2 linked regions of the Tribolium castaneum genome follow. The protein of the gene in region 1 purifies or fractionates together with the protein of each later gene. This does not show direct contact. Links are inferred from orthologs where the notes say so. Each region holds a gene or a part of one and is shown on either strand. Other genes may lie near its edges.

Evidence for each region.
Region 2: the proteins of Rrp6 (region 1) and Dis3 purify together in Drosophila melanogaster (affinity purification with western blotting; 3 studies listed by BioGRID, with this or other methods). This does not show direct contact. The link is inferred for Tribolium castaneum from reciprocal best matches to the Drosophila melanogaster genes Rrp6 and Dis3.

What each region holds. Positions count from the first base shown.
Region 1 is NC_087398.1:13,222,589-13,229,200, reverse strand, and holds the end of Rrp6 (exosome complex component 10 homolog), read left to right. Parts: intron 1-3,948; coding exon 3,949-4,656; intron 4,657-4,703; coding exon 4,704-4,787; 3' UTR 4,788-4,843; downstream 4,844-6,612. Other genes in the region: Idgf2 (imaginal disc growth factor 2 precursor), read right to left, coding at 4,844-5,315. UniProt on the Drosophila melanogaster protein: Catalytic component of the RNA exosome complex which has 3'->5' exoribonuclease activity and participates in a multitude of cellular RNA processing and degradation events.
Region 2 is NC_087394.1:36,185,327-36,192,820, reverse strand, and holds the start of Dis3 (exosome complex exonuclease RRP44), read left to right. Parts: upstream 1-3,537; 5' UTR 3,538-4,015; coding exon 4,016-4,069; intron 4,070-4,118; coding exon 4,119-4,283; intron 4,284-4,335; coding exon 4,336-4,493; intron 4,494-4,544; coding exon 4,545-4,944; intron 4,945-5,019; coding exon 5,020-5,433; intron 5,434-6,275; coding exon 6,276-6,422; intron 6,423-6,470; coding exon 6,471-6,967; intron 6,968-7,088; coding exon 7,089-7,332; intron 7,333-7,379; coding exon 7,380-7,494. Other genes in the region: mpv17-like protein, read right to left, coding at 752-960, 1,010-1,122, 1,352-1,440, 1,560-1,688.

The sequences.
Region 1 (6,612 bases):
AAAGGTTAGGATATGAAACGACATATAAATAAAATGGCCCTGTTCTCAGGAGTTTCGTTAATGTCGCCAGAGAGCGTCTAAGTTTTTAGAAAAATGAATTTGAAAAAATGGTTGTATTTGATAACGGTTAACAAAAAATACAGGCAGATAGAGTTAAATTCTCAATAATAAGACATAAACATGATGCAGAAATTTTATCGTATACTATATTTAAAAAAATATATTATTATAACAGAATTTTATTTATTATAGAAATTATTGTAGCAGAAGTCTAAGAAGCTCGGGCTTGGAGCGCAAAATGTTAGAAAAGAACGTTTTTTTAAGTAAATAATAAAAATTATCTAAAGATTAATTCGGAATCGGATTTTTGACTTCCTTGCTAGTATGGCTATGGGGAATATAAAAAAAATGCTCAAAGTCGATTCAAATTTACAAAGAAGATTTTGATCATAACTTGTAATGCAATTTACTTAAAATTAATAGGTCTTTCATCTAAGGGACAATTAGATTTATCAAAAAATATTAATGCAGACAAACATATTTTCAAATCTTGTAATTTTATTGGAAATCATGGCTTGTAAAGCGGTGACTAATTGTATGTACAGGTGAATGATCGTTTTTAGCATTGAAAAAAGTAAAAGACATCTTCACTATCTATCTAATCTTAAATTAAAAGCGCTATAGCAATAATGTATTAATGTCCCCAGTTTTGACAAAATTATCAAAAACACTTCATTTTTGATAAATATAATAAAAAATAATCATTTTATTAACAAGAAAGTCAGAGAAAAACCTTAAATTATTAATCATTTCTTATTTTTTTTATTGTATTATTTAACTATGTACTAGTATTATTAGCATTTTGTATAAATAAACAATCGAAATTTATTATAGGGGACAATTTTACAATAATTGTGATACTCACCATTACTTATCATTATCAAAATTATTAAAAAACGGAGCGAATAATGAATCAAACACTAAAATTTAAAAAAGTTTTGATGAGATAAAGAGGGTGAATCTACCAAATGTATGTCTAAAATAATAATCGCTCAATAAGAATCAGCATTTTTAATTATTATTAATTAAATTAATATTATTATTTATTATTTTATTTAATAAAATACAGGTGTTTTCATTTTTATATTTAAAATTAATTAATTAATATTAACTAATTAATTAAGCCGCAAAAAATTGTTAAACCTTGTGTCATCTGAGAAGAAGCAGTGTTGTTCTGCCATCAAAATCCATACAAAAGTGTTGCTGGTCCCAAAAATTTATTAATAAAGTAAAAATTCAAATAAACGTAGCACCCTCTGCGAGAAAAAAAAAAGACAGACGAAATTTTCTTGCGCTTTGAGCGCCAAAATACAGGGTTTTGTGAATTGCACCCACAAATTTTAACCACTTAAAGAATGCGTTATGAAAAATTAATTTGAAAACAAAACAAATTCCGTATCCAAAAAATTTTTTGATTTTTCTCCCCACGATTTTCACGAGCCGTTCAGTGGGTCTCTCCTTGTTAGGTGCAAGTAAAATTTAAATGAAAATAAATTGCACTGAACGTTGACCGTGAACGTTTTTATGCACAAAAAAGGGATAACTTTGTGCACCAAAAAAATTAGCAGGTGTTTGTTTAGACGTTCGGTTAGTTAGTCGTAATCCTACTTTCGAGTGAATTCACGTGTCAGTTTGAAATTAAATCATTATGGCCAATTATTCAAACGCCGAAATGAGTGATCTGGTTTTAGTGTACGAGGTAGTGGAAATAATCCCGTTACACTCTTACCATCTCCAGCGGGTGCAGGCTCTCAGATTTAAATCCGTGTGATTTTTTTTGGATTCACGTGAAACAACTAGTGTTCAAATTGTGTTCCAAGTAATACCGCCAAGGAGCTAACCGTTTGTGTTACGCAAGCATCAACCGTATCATTTAGAAATCACGAGGGGATGTGTGCAAGACCGCAAGCTTTCCTACCCTGAAGAGTTCATTGCGACCGAAGGGCAACATTTTGAGCAATTTTTATTATGGTACTGACCCACTAACATTGACACTGATAAGTTTTTTTGTCTTTACGCTCTTTAGGTTCAATAGTTTCTTTTTATTAGAATGAATGAAAATATCGTATCTAGACATAGGCGAAGACGGATTTTCAGCCTCAACTTATTTTTAATTTTAACTCAGAAATGATATGTTTTTGGCAAAAATTGGAGAGAGAAAAGTTGTTTCTTTTGACGAGGTCTATTAGTGGTTAAATTTTGTGAGCGCTATCCACAAACAGCCTGTATGTAGGTTGATACGCTACTGCTGAAGATACAACAAAGTGTATGGAATAAAGTTGTAGAGAATTGTTTCCTGTAAAAAAGCCCGCGACACCATATTTTTTTCTACAGTTCAGGGATAAATTAACTTTCTATTACTTGACCACCGGTAAAACGAAACGAATCTGTCGCTCCAGCGTCTTTTGAACGTTTTTTGGGTCTAAACCGTTGATGATAGTGATATGGTTTTGCAGACTTTTTTAGAGGAAATTTAATTCTCTACAAATTTATTCTTAACACTTTTCTTGTACGAGGTTAGATCAATATTTACGGTTCCTGATATACAAAGAAAAAGAATTTTTTAAACATTTTTTGTTTGTTTCTCAACATGATCTTCATGGACTTCAATGTACTTGGTCCATCGATGTTCCAATACTTCAGTGCTTTTCAAGAAAAGTTTTCCGATTGCTCCTCAACCCGGCCATTTCCTGCGGTCATAACTTCATTATCGTCCTCATATTTTTTCCCACGGAGGTTTTCTTTAAATTTTGGAAATAGATAGTAATCACTGGGTGCCAGGTCTGTTAAATATGGAGGGTATTCTAGGATTTCAAAGCCAGGGTTCTGTATGGCAGCCACGACAATGTAGATTTTATGACCGGATTTTGTCCCGATGGAGCAAAATTTTGAGTGACAACTTTTCTGGTCTTTTTGGCTCGATGCATTCGGACAATTGTAGAATTAACCCTGCATAATAAAAACCCATTATCATTATTATTATCATTAGAATTCCTTCTGTAACCTAGAACACTGTGACCAAAATCTTTCCCCCGTTGAATTCGAAATTTGCATAGAGGTGAAAAACCTCTGTGATGCCACTCCATACTTTGCTTTTTGCCACTTGGAAAGGAGGAGAGTCCACTAAAAGATCTGTCATAAGCTTGTGAATTTCAGTTGGTGTTAATCCCTTTTTCTGCAAATATGTTATCACCGCTCTGACATAACATTTTTTCTACTATGATTAAAATTTATCTGTCATCGACCGTTCCACCAACATTTTTTGCAACTTTGCCCTTTGCGCTTTGCAAAAATAGTAAACTCTAAAGTTAATGTGTTCCACCAATTTTTTCACTGGTTGTAAATTTTTGTAAAGCAAAGTATTTTTGCAAGGTATATTTTACAAAGTGTGTAAAATATACTGTTGTTGATGGAACGCAAAGTCGGTGGTGGAGTAGGGCCCAGCTGTTAAAGAACAACATACACATAAACAAAACTTGGCACAATTAATTAATAATGAAAGTTCTCATAGAAAAATAAGAGCCGATATCATGCAAAGCCTACTATGTCAGGGACCGTAAATACCCTCGTATCTTTAACCGTATTCACAGCTTCTTGAAAATTACGGAACGAAGGCGAAATTTTAAATAATTTTTTCTTATGTCTCTTATGAAAATTGTAGTCGTCATTTTTTTTTTAGTTTGTTAGGAGTGCAAAGCTCAAAATTTCTGCACTTTTCTTCTAATAATTAGTGAATTGGTTGGACTTAAATTAATGTAAAACGATTTGACGCCGACACGTACTATTTTTTTGGGTTCAGAAAATTCTGCAATTTTTGTATTTCCTTTCATCTCCTACTTATAGTCCTTCTTAGTCGTTAGTTAATATGAAGTTTAATTTTGTGTTCAGATTAGGGATCATTTCGTGCAATTATCCAAGAAGTTTAGTGAGGAGTTGCAAGCGCAAAAAGAGGAAGAAGAACGGAAGGAGAGAGAATTGTCATTGATAGAAATGGGTGCTTCAAGGAAAAGAAAACGAGATGAAATTGATTCAGAATCGCCTGATGTGGTGATAGTTGAGGACAGTTTTTATACTCCGGTTCCAGTAATAAGCGATGTTATTGATGAAAATAATTTCTATCGCAGAAAAAAGCCACGCAAGCGGAAATTTGATGAAATTAATGATGGAGGTAATGAAGGTGGTAAAAAGAAGAAAAATAAGAAAAAGGGAAAGAAAGGGAATGTACAAGCTCCTGGACAGTTTAAAAATGAAGGAAACAAACTAAATCTAACTCAAGTTCGTTCATTTAAAACTGAAGGAAAACAACAAAATCAAATTCCAATCCATCAGAATAAAGGCAACGGAAATAAACAAAATCAGGCTCAAAATGTACCGAAGAGTAAAAGGAAAAGGAATAATGCCGGACAGGGGCCCCAAAATGTTCAAAAAGGCGGGAATCAACCCAAGAAGAAGTTTAAGTGCAAGAATGCAGAACAGAACAATAAGAGTTCGAATTTCATGCCGTATGATTATTCCTCTGTTGATTTTAGGCAGTTTCAAGGTGGGGCCGGCAGTGCCAGTGGGGGTGTGCAGATGAAAAGGACTTTCCAACCCAAGGTGAGTCAAATTTCCAATTGATATTTCTGGCGCTACTCGTATTTTAGAATCGCGGAAAACACAACAAAAAGGGGGCTAAATCATCGACGTTTGCTAACTTGGGTAGACACAACAGAGGGCAACACAACTGAGTTGTTTATTTAATGTTGTATATTTTTTCAAAAATAATTACAATCGGTTATAACATTTACAAATGCGTTTTAGCGGTTCTTAAAATATCGTATTTATCCCGCCCGCAAGTTCCCTTAAAGTCGTCCAACGACAAGTCAACAATTGCAATCCCTCCCAGTCCTTTGGCTTTCACATAACTGGCTTTATATCCGGCTGTGTCGGTGTCTTCATAACCGACCCAAAAACCGCCGTTGTTATTTTCATCAGGGAGTCTAAAAATGTAGGATCCTTTGCGTTTTGAGGGATCTGGGACTCTTTTCACTTGGAAAGCTTTCTGGGTTTTGGCGTTTTGTGGGTCGTTGAGTAAAGTGCAAATTTCGGGGTAGCTTAAAAGACCGGCGTCTTTTGTGAGGGGGCCTGCTTCAGCAGGGCCCGAGATGTGCAGAGGCGGAGTGCCGTTGATGTCGGATTCGTCGTCCATTGCCCAAGCGCGACCAAAGGTTGGGAGACCCAACACGATTTTGGCGCTGGGGGCCCCGTTACTCATCCTAATTTACACAAGAATAAAAGTCGAAAAATTAAAACGATTTGCTGTTCTAACTAAACTCCACATAGAAGTATTGGGAGTTTTAATAATGATAGTCTCCTGAAAATTTGTATACAACCCTTTCCGTTAGCTTTTTAATGAAAATTAAACCAAATGGCGGCATTTTGAATGGAAAGTTGTGTTTTTACTGCATTTTTGCTTTACCCGAGCGATTTTAAGTGAGTGTTTTCAGCTTTCCCTATCCCTAAATTCAGTCTTTTTTGAAATGATAATGTATTTTTTTGAAAATTTTTGGATTTTTACTTTTGGATCAGGACATTTGGCGTCTTAAAAAACAGGTTAAAATCCTACAAATTGAAAAGCAAGCAATGGAGAAAGACCTAAAACCCTTCAAAAGGCAATAATCTTCATTCACTCCAAAAGTACCTAAATTGGGCACATGAAAAAACAGGGCAGAGTCTTAAAAATTTTCCAAAAAATAAACATCCGTAAAAGATCTAAAAAACTTACAAAATGCTTGTTTTTAAGTACCTAAAATGGCTTTTTATTTTTGGACTGGGACATTTGGCGTTTTCAAAAAACAAGGCAGAACCCTAAAAATTTAACTGCTCTTCCAAAACAAAACAATCGAAAACGATCTAAAAACCCTTCAGAAAGCATTATTTTGTATGAACCCCAAAATTACTCAAATATCCGTAGGCCACTAAAAATTGGGCATATGAAAAAACCGTTAAAATTTCCCAAAATAATGCAAAATTACTTTAAGAACGCCCTAAAAAATTAACAAATTACCTTGTTTTTAATCACTCCAAAATGGCTTTCTGGACCAGAGCAATTGGCGCATGCGAAAAAAAGAGAAAAACAACATCAAATCAAAAAGGTATATTTGGCGCCTTACAAAACAAGACAGAATCCAAAAAAGGTATGTTTTTCCTAAAGTAAACAACCGAAGAAAACATGAATCTTTCAAAAAACAAAAATCAAATTTTTTATGCGCCCAAAAAATACACGAAAATCAATAGACCACCAAAAAAGGGGCACATGGGAAAACTGTTGAAAATCATCCAAAATCAAACATAATTACATTAATAGCAACCAAAAAAACCTTACAGCATTCCTTGTTTTTAGACATAACAAAATGGATTTTTCTTTTTAGATAATTTTATTGGTACACGCAAAAATCATTGAAAAAGAGCCAAAAATCTTATTCAGGTTATTTGTCAGGTTTTCGAACCCTCCAAATGGATTTTTATTTCTGGATAGGACGTTAGAGCACAGCTTTTCATTGGATAGTAACT
Region 2 (7,494 bases), on another chromosome or scaffold:
CCTTCACGCACTTCAGCATGGGCATCAAAATTGTCACTGTTATGTTTCAAGCCGTAGTCTTTACTCAAAAGTCTTCCATTTGAGTCTCTTCGTTCATTAAAATACCATCCATCAGTAGGTGTTGCTCGTTTGAATCGACTGGGCAGTAAAAATTTATGAGTTAAATCCACATGATGTCTCGATAACACATTTGCCACTGATAACACTAGCACTAGTAGAAAGACACAAGAAACCATTCTTATCAGTTTTAATTGTTAATATCGCTATCAATAATTTAAACTTGAATGAATTTACAGTAGCGTTGTTTTCGTATTATATAGGCAATCAATACGCTGGGGGAATTACTTTTTTGTTGGGAATACTTAAGTACAAAACCCAGACACGAGTAAGATAAAATTTATTATGTATTCAAAATATTACATGTAGTACACAAATAAACACATCAACTGTACCAATACGAGATTAAAATGGAACATCAATAAATTCGGTTCAGTTAATATATAATTTCTAGTCAATAAAACATCATACTTTCTGGGAGACTACTTGATATGTACGGTTGAAAATATCACATTGGAGGTATAATTATTTAAAGTTATAGCTAAATAGTGCCATCAAGAACATCCATAGCTACAATAAATAGGAATTATTGTCCTCTTCTGTCACTGATTTAAGAACAGCCAAAGCTCAAATTTTAACAAGTTCGTAAGCTTCGTCAAAATGTAAGACTTGACTTTATTATAATTTACAAAATCTAGTATTCTTGTCGCTTAATCCAGCACAAAATGTTGACCCATGCAAATGAGCAAGTCCCAACATAAACGACCCTAAACGAAGGGGGGATTAACAAGAAATTTACAGTTTGGGCTGGAAGCCAAAACATACAACTAGACTTGAATGTGGGGATTATTTTCTGTTTACATTCTTCAAAAATATCCTTCTTCTTCTCCATAATGCTCATGGCTGTGAAACTTGGGATTATTTTACGTTACAGCAAAATGTGAGCACTCACCAACATAAAAAATTACCAAAATCTGCGGGGTCATTAAGAATTGGTCCAGTAGCAGTTTTTGTGCTACAATTTTGTACGAGGTTCCGATAAATTTCTTGTCTAACCATCTGTACCTACAAACGTGTTACTTTAACAATGTAGAAATTGAGTCTCGGAAAAGTATATTAATTTTGGTTTGTGACCTACCAGTACTGGTATACTGGAGCAATAACAGTCACACCGAGAATTCCAAAACATGTGAGCATTTGGCGGTCATAGATGATCGGTTCTTTATTCTGAAATTTGAGCAAAATCAGAAACCAAAATTAATATAAGGAAACCAAAACCCAAAAAAATAAATACCAAATGGTCAAAAATGGTCCCTGTATTCCGGTTCCGTAAACTGCATATCGAGCAATTGCAGGCGTGTCGTAAGACGTGGGCGTTTTAGTCTAACAATTAACTCAAATTAAAAAATTAAAGAGTATGAGAAAACTTACTCCAAACATAAATAATAAACGAACGTCTTTTAAATGGGCGATCAGTGTCGCTTTAATAATTCACAACTCACCAGAACTTTTCTCGAGATGGTTTGTTGGGAAAATTCGGCTCCCACGTAAAGTGTTCCATAAACCAGAGAATTGGAAGCGATCGGGTATTTGGTAAATGCATATTTAATGAATTTTAAAATACTTGACATGCTGAAACAATTTACTGTTAGAGCCATATTTTAGTAGAAAAAATCGCATACTAGAATTCAATTAATTAGAGTTCACCAACACAATGGTCTTTTTTGAAGCGTTTCATTTTTTTAGTGCCAAACTACTAGCTAACTGATTTGATAAAATGATTGGGTGGCATTTGGGCAAAAATTTCGCAACAGATGCGTTCTTGCGCAAGAACGCTCTTATTGATTGTAAGTCGCTCTGTTTCAAATATCACAGGACGCGGATTCTAATTAGAAATTGTTCGAATGTTGTGGAAAAATTCATAATTCAGTTGGAAACAATAATTACAAGTTATTTATTACAAACAGGAATTTTCCGACGTTTTTATTTGTTTAATATAATTTATGTCACACTTTTAAGGTCTTGTGTATGACAATAAAGGGCTTTTATTTACCTGGAACAACACAGTAACTTAATAACAACGCTTGTAATTCTTCACAGCTACTACACACCACAGCAGATAGGTTTTGTTTAATGAATTCAATTGGCGCTAGTTAAATAAATTACTGTAAATAAAATATGTAACCTTCTACGAGTGTATTATGAGTATTAACTAGCTTATCTTAGGCAATTTTTGAGCTACTTTCTTAGGACGACACGTGATACCTTTCAATTCACTTTTGTAGACATTAAACAATGCACAGGTACGCTTAAGTATCATGTATGCAACATATGGTTACATAAACTTGATCTATGTGTTTTATTGTTTTCTATGAGTTATACGTTAATAATAGTTTTGAAAATAAATGAATAGTAAAGTTCGGCAAATACCTAATCTGTTTGTTTTACGAACAAAGTAATTAGTACGTTATCAAGGCTGTTAAAAATGTGATTGTTTTTTAATTTTTAAGTTTTGCCAAATATCAAGACGATTCGTGATAGATAAATTGTTACAGTTGCGTTCCGAGCTCATCTCAAAGATTCTCCGAACTCATTTACTCAAAAATTAAAACGAATTTCAAAAAATTTGAGACAAAAGTTAGTCTGAGAGGTTTTTACTTTTTTTGTAAAATCCGCAAGTTATTAAACTAATTTTTTAAATCAGTTTGTCAGAAAAACTTTGAATGCTGATCAGACGCTCGTTCGAGTGACTTGAGTTCAAAAAAAAAATAATTTTCTGTTGTTAGGACAGCAAAGCAAAGAAGTTTCTCCACGACCTAAGAATTTACTTTATGATTTTTTTTTTATAAAAAAAAAGAATAATTTTTTGTTAACTAAATTACATGATAAAAATGTGGAAAAACGCCTCGGAAGACTTGTTTCCGGAACGAAACAAATATTTTATAAACTGTGTTTTTAAATATCGTGGTTTTACTTATATGGGAAGCTAAGTACAGTCACCCAAAATGAAAATGATGCGTCTATAAACAACCACCTACCGTGCATTTTTGAATAAGATACTCATTTATTTTACAATATTTGATAAAAAAAAACGTCTAAATCCATAAATCTTTTGACAAAACAACGTCTCAAAATTACAAAATTACAAAATTTTCCAAGCTTTTTGGAATGTATTACCTAAATAAACCGAGCTGAAAATGAAACAAAATTTTTTTTTTATTTTTCTGATTATTTCGTAAAAATTATCAAGAATAAGATAAATATCATAAAATACTTTAATTAATGTTCAAATTTGTTCATTATACAGCAAATTTAATTTCACATTGAAATTTATATTTTGCATCAACCGTGTAAACTATAGATTGCTCCCTCACATTTTGTCTCTAATAAAAGCTTTTATTACTATAATTATTATTATTATTATTATTATTATTATTATTATTATTTATTAATAATTTATTATTTATTTATTAATTAATTAAATTTTCCAAAAAATGAAACCCTCAATTATTTCAAATGATGATAAACGAAATGTCGAATTTCTTAAAACTTGGGCGTTATAGACACGTCATTTTCATTTTGGGTGACTGTACTTATCAATAGCAACTCGTACAGGATGTATAATTTTTCATTTTGCTTCTGCAACTAATTAAGTCGCATGGGGAACACGTTTATTGCATATTTTTAATAAATTAGCATGTTTATATAGCAGTGGGAGTTAGATTTCTTAATAAAACGTTGTGCATGACTAGGTAATATGGTAATGGTCTTTTGTATTCATAATTGCTGGAACAATGTAAGAATTTTTGTTTTGTATTTTTTATAATAAAAAAACAGTTTTTTATATTTCCCGCCTCAGCTGTCAACAAAAACATAACCACAAAAAATATTGTAATATAACCTCCAAATAACTTGTTGCGGCATGTTTTTGTAAAAAAACATTTGAAATAATTAAACAATGTTTACGACTAAAGCTTTTATTAAAAAGAACAAAGTTGGGAATTATCTGAAGGTTAGTATGTGACAATAAACATGGGGGTCCATCTTTTCTAATATTGTAGCACGTTCGAGAACATTATATTCGTGATGACATTTCTTGTGGTCTTCAAGAGTGTGAAACTTGTTTGCCAGTGGAGTCATTCCTGTCCCCAGACCACGAAAACAAATGTTCTTTATTTACTTCTAATCATTATCTAATACTAGACACAAATGTTGTTCTTGATCAGGTATTTTCCGAGTTTATTTTTTATAAAACTAGCATTTAAATTACAAATTTAGATGGATATTTTGGAAGAGTCCGTCATTGGTAATGTGATAATCCTCCACACAGTTTTAAACGAGGTGAAGCACCGAAGTCTACCAATTTACAAACGCTTGTGTGCTGTAATTGAAAATCCGAGTCGTCATTTTTACGTTTTTATAAACGACCACCATCAGTAAAAACATTTTTTCATTATATTGATACAAACCTAAAACATTGCTTCCAGAGGCACTTATTTGCAACAAAACGAAGGTGAATTAATTAATGATTACAATGACAGGTGTATTAGAGCTGCGTGTTCCTGGTACATAAACCATGCCCCTAAACAAAAATTCGTTTTCCTCACTGACGACTCAGCTAATCGGATTAAAGCCCAAAAAGAGGATATACCTTCTTACACCGTCTCGGAATATGTGCAAAATCTCAACACTTCGGGTCTTACCGATAAATTATCGAGGAAAGATTTTCACGGAAATGATTTTACGAAAGACGTTTTTCCCAACCATTTGAGTAATGTTGAGCTTTTGACTGGCATAAGAGAGGGAAAGCTGCTCCAGGGGACTTTCCGAGCCTCTCGAGATAATTTCTTGGAAGGTTTTGTCAATGTGGATTCGTACGAAGAGCCGGTAAGGCAATTTTATAAATACATTATTTTTAATATTGAAACTCGAAGCGAAGCTATTTGTTTTTATTTTCTGTAGGTGATAGTTCAGGGTCGGGCTGGCCTTAACCGCTCAGTGGATGGTGACACTGTAGCTGTTGAGCTTTTGAAAGAGGAGGAATGGGTGTGTCCGAGTGAAATAATCCTAGAGGATGAAGGGGTTGGTGATGAGAGTGTTGACGATGTTGTGACAAAAGAAAACGAGTTACAAAAAGCGACAAAGAAGAAAAGTGGAGCTAAACCTACAGGACGTGTTGTTGGAATTATTCGTAGAAAGTGGAGACAATATTGTGGCATTTTACAAGGGGGCATTGATGGTGTTTATCAGATGTTTGTTCCAGCTGATAAAAGTATACCCAAAATTAAAATAGAAACGAGACAAGCGGAGTTTCTAAGGACTCAGAAATTGATCGTTACGATTGATTCCTGGCCCAAACATTCACGCTATCCTCATGTAAGTGTTATAAGTAAATAAATAATTATTTACTCAAAAAAAATTACCACTAAAGGTAAGCTGAAAATACAATAAATCAAAGACAAACAATGATTATAAAGAAACACTAACAAATAAAATAAAAAAACAACAGTTTACAACTTAGTCTAAGAAAAAATTGGAAGCATGTTAAGAAAGCGTCAATAATAATGTCGTAATAAAATTTATTTATTTTAGAGGTAATTTCCATTCTACTATAATAAGAGTCAACATTTAGAACACTAATATTAAAAGACATTAAAAACTGACTGATTCAGAAATGTTTTTATGGCAAACTATGCAAAAACAGCTGTGATTAGTAAGAAATTTTCTACAATGTCAAAAAAAGTAACATAACTTGAAAATTATCACAGATAGCTATAGGAAATGCTAATACAAATCGATGTAGAAAAAAATTCTCTTCCATTTAATAAAATAAAAATTGGGACATCCCATTTGAAAAAATTAAGTTATGGGCACTTGAAGTTGTTCAAACTTTAAAATTTTTGGGTTTAATAACGTCTTTTCCAATTTTGAATACACTGCAGAACAGATAGAGGCTTTCTCTTTTAATCCTCCAAATATGATTTTGAAATCTCCAAAGCTAAGAGAGTTACCGATTTTTTAAGTGACAGATGCAAATCCAAAAATTTTCAAAAAATCTTAAATATCCTGAAAATGGTTCAACTTAGGTATAGGGAAAGTTGATAAAAATAGCCTTAAAATAATTCCACTAATCCATTTAAAATAAGGAAGTTGCATAAAAAAAAATTACTCAGGAAAAAATTTCTTTTTGCATTAATTTTTTGTAATTTTTTAAATAGGGTCATTTTGTGCGAGCTTTGGGCAACATTGGGGACCAAACCACCGAAAACGAGGTCATTTTGCTGGAACATGACGTCCCTCACAGCCAATTCTCTGAGGAAGTTCTCAATTGTTTGCCCAAAATGCCTTGGATCATAACCGATGATGTAATGTTTATTTTCCTCCCTGATTGTTATTCATTGCGCTTTTAATAGGACGTCAAAAAACGAGTCGATCTCAGACACCTTGACATTTGCTCAGTGGATCCCCCAGGTTGTACCGACATTGACGACGCCCTTCATTGTCGTCCACTAGCTGACGGCAAACTTGAAGTTGGTGTTCATATTGCCGATGTTTCGCATTTTATAAGACCTGGAACGCCTCTAGATCGCGAAGCTGCTTCTAGAGCCACCACAGTGTATTTGGTTAATAATCGAATAGATATGGTGCCAGCATTGCTCAGTTCAAATCTTTGTTCGTTACGAGGAGGAGAGGAAAGATTCGCGTTTTCTTGCATTTGGGAAATGGACCAAAATGCCAATATTTTAAGTACGCGATTTCATAAAAGTATAATTAAGTCGAGGAAAGCAATGACTTATGAAGAGGCGCAACTGATTATTGACGACAAGACCAAGCAGGACGCTCTGGCCGAGGCCTTGAGGAGCTTGAACAAGTTGGCCAAAATTATGAAGCAGCGCAGACTGGTTAATGGGTAGGCACTTTTATTTACAAATATATTTTTTACAATAAAATACACAATACAACAAAATTTGTCAAAATCAAACAAACAAACAAAAATCAATTTTTTTAACGTTACTTTGTTTCTTTATTAGAGCTTTAGTTCTTGCATCGCCTGAGGTAAAAATCCAGATGGACTCCGAGACGATGGAACCCTTGGACGTGGAAGTGAAAAAACTGTTTGAAACAAATTCCATGATTGAGGAATTTATGCTGCAAGCAAATATAAGTGTCGCTGAAAAAATCCTTGAGGAGTTTCCCGATTGTGCGATGTTACGTCGTCATCCCGTCCCTCCAGCTACTAATTTCGATCCCCTGGTTAAAGCAGGCCGTCACCTTGTACGTACTACTTAACGTCACCCCAAAATTTAATTTCGCTTTTCAAGGGCTTTGAAATTAGAGTGGATTCAGGCAAAAACTTGGCAAAATCACTCGATGAAGCAGTAAACACAAAAAATCCCTATTTGAACACAATGTTCCGAATTTTAGCCACACGTTGTA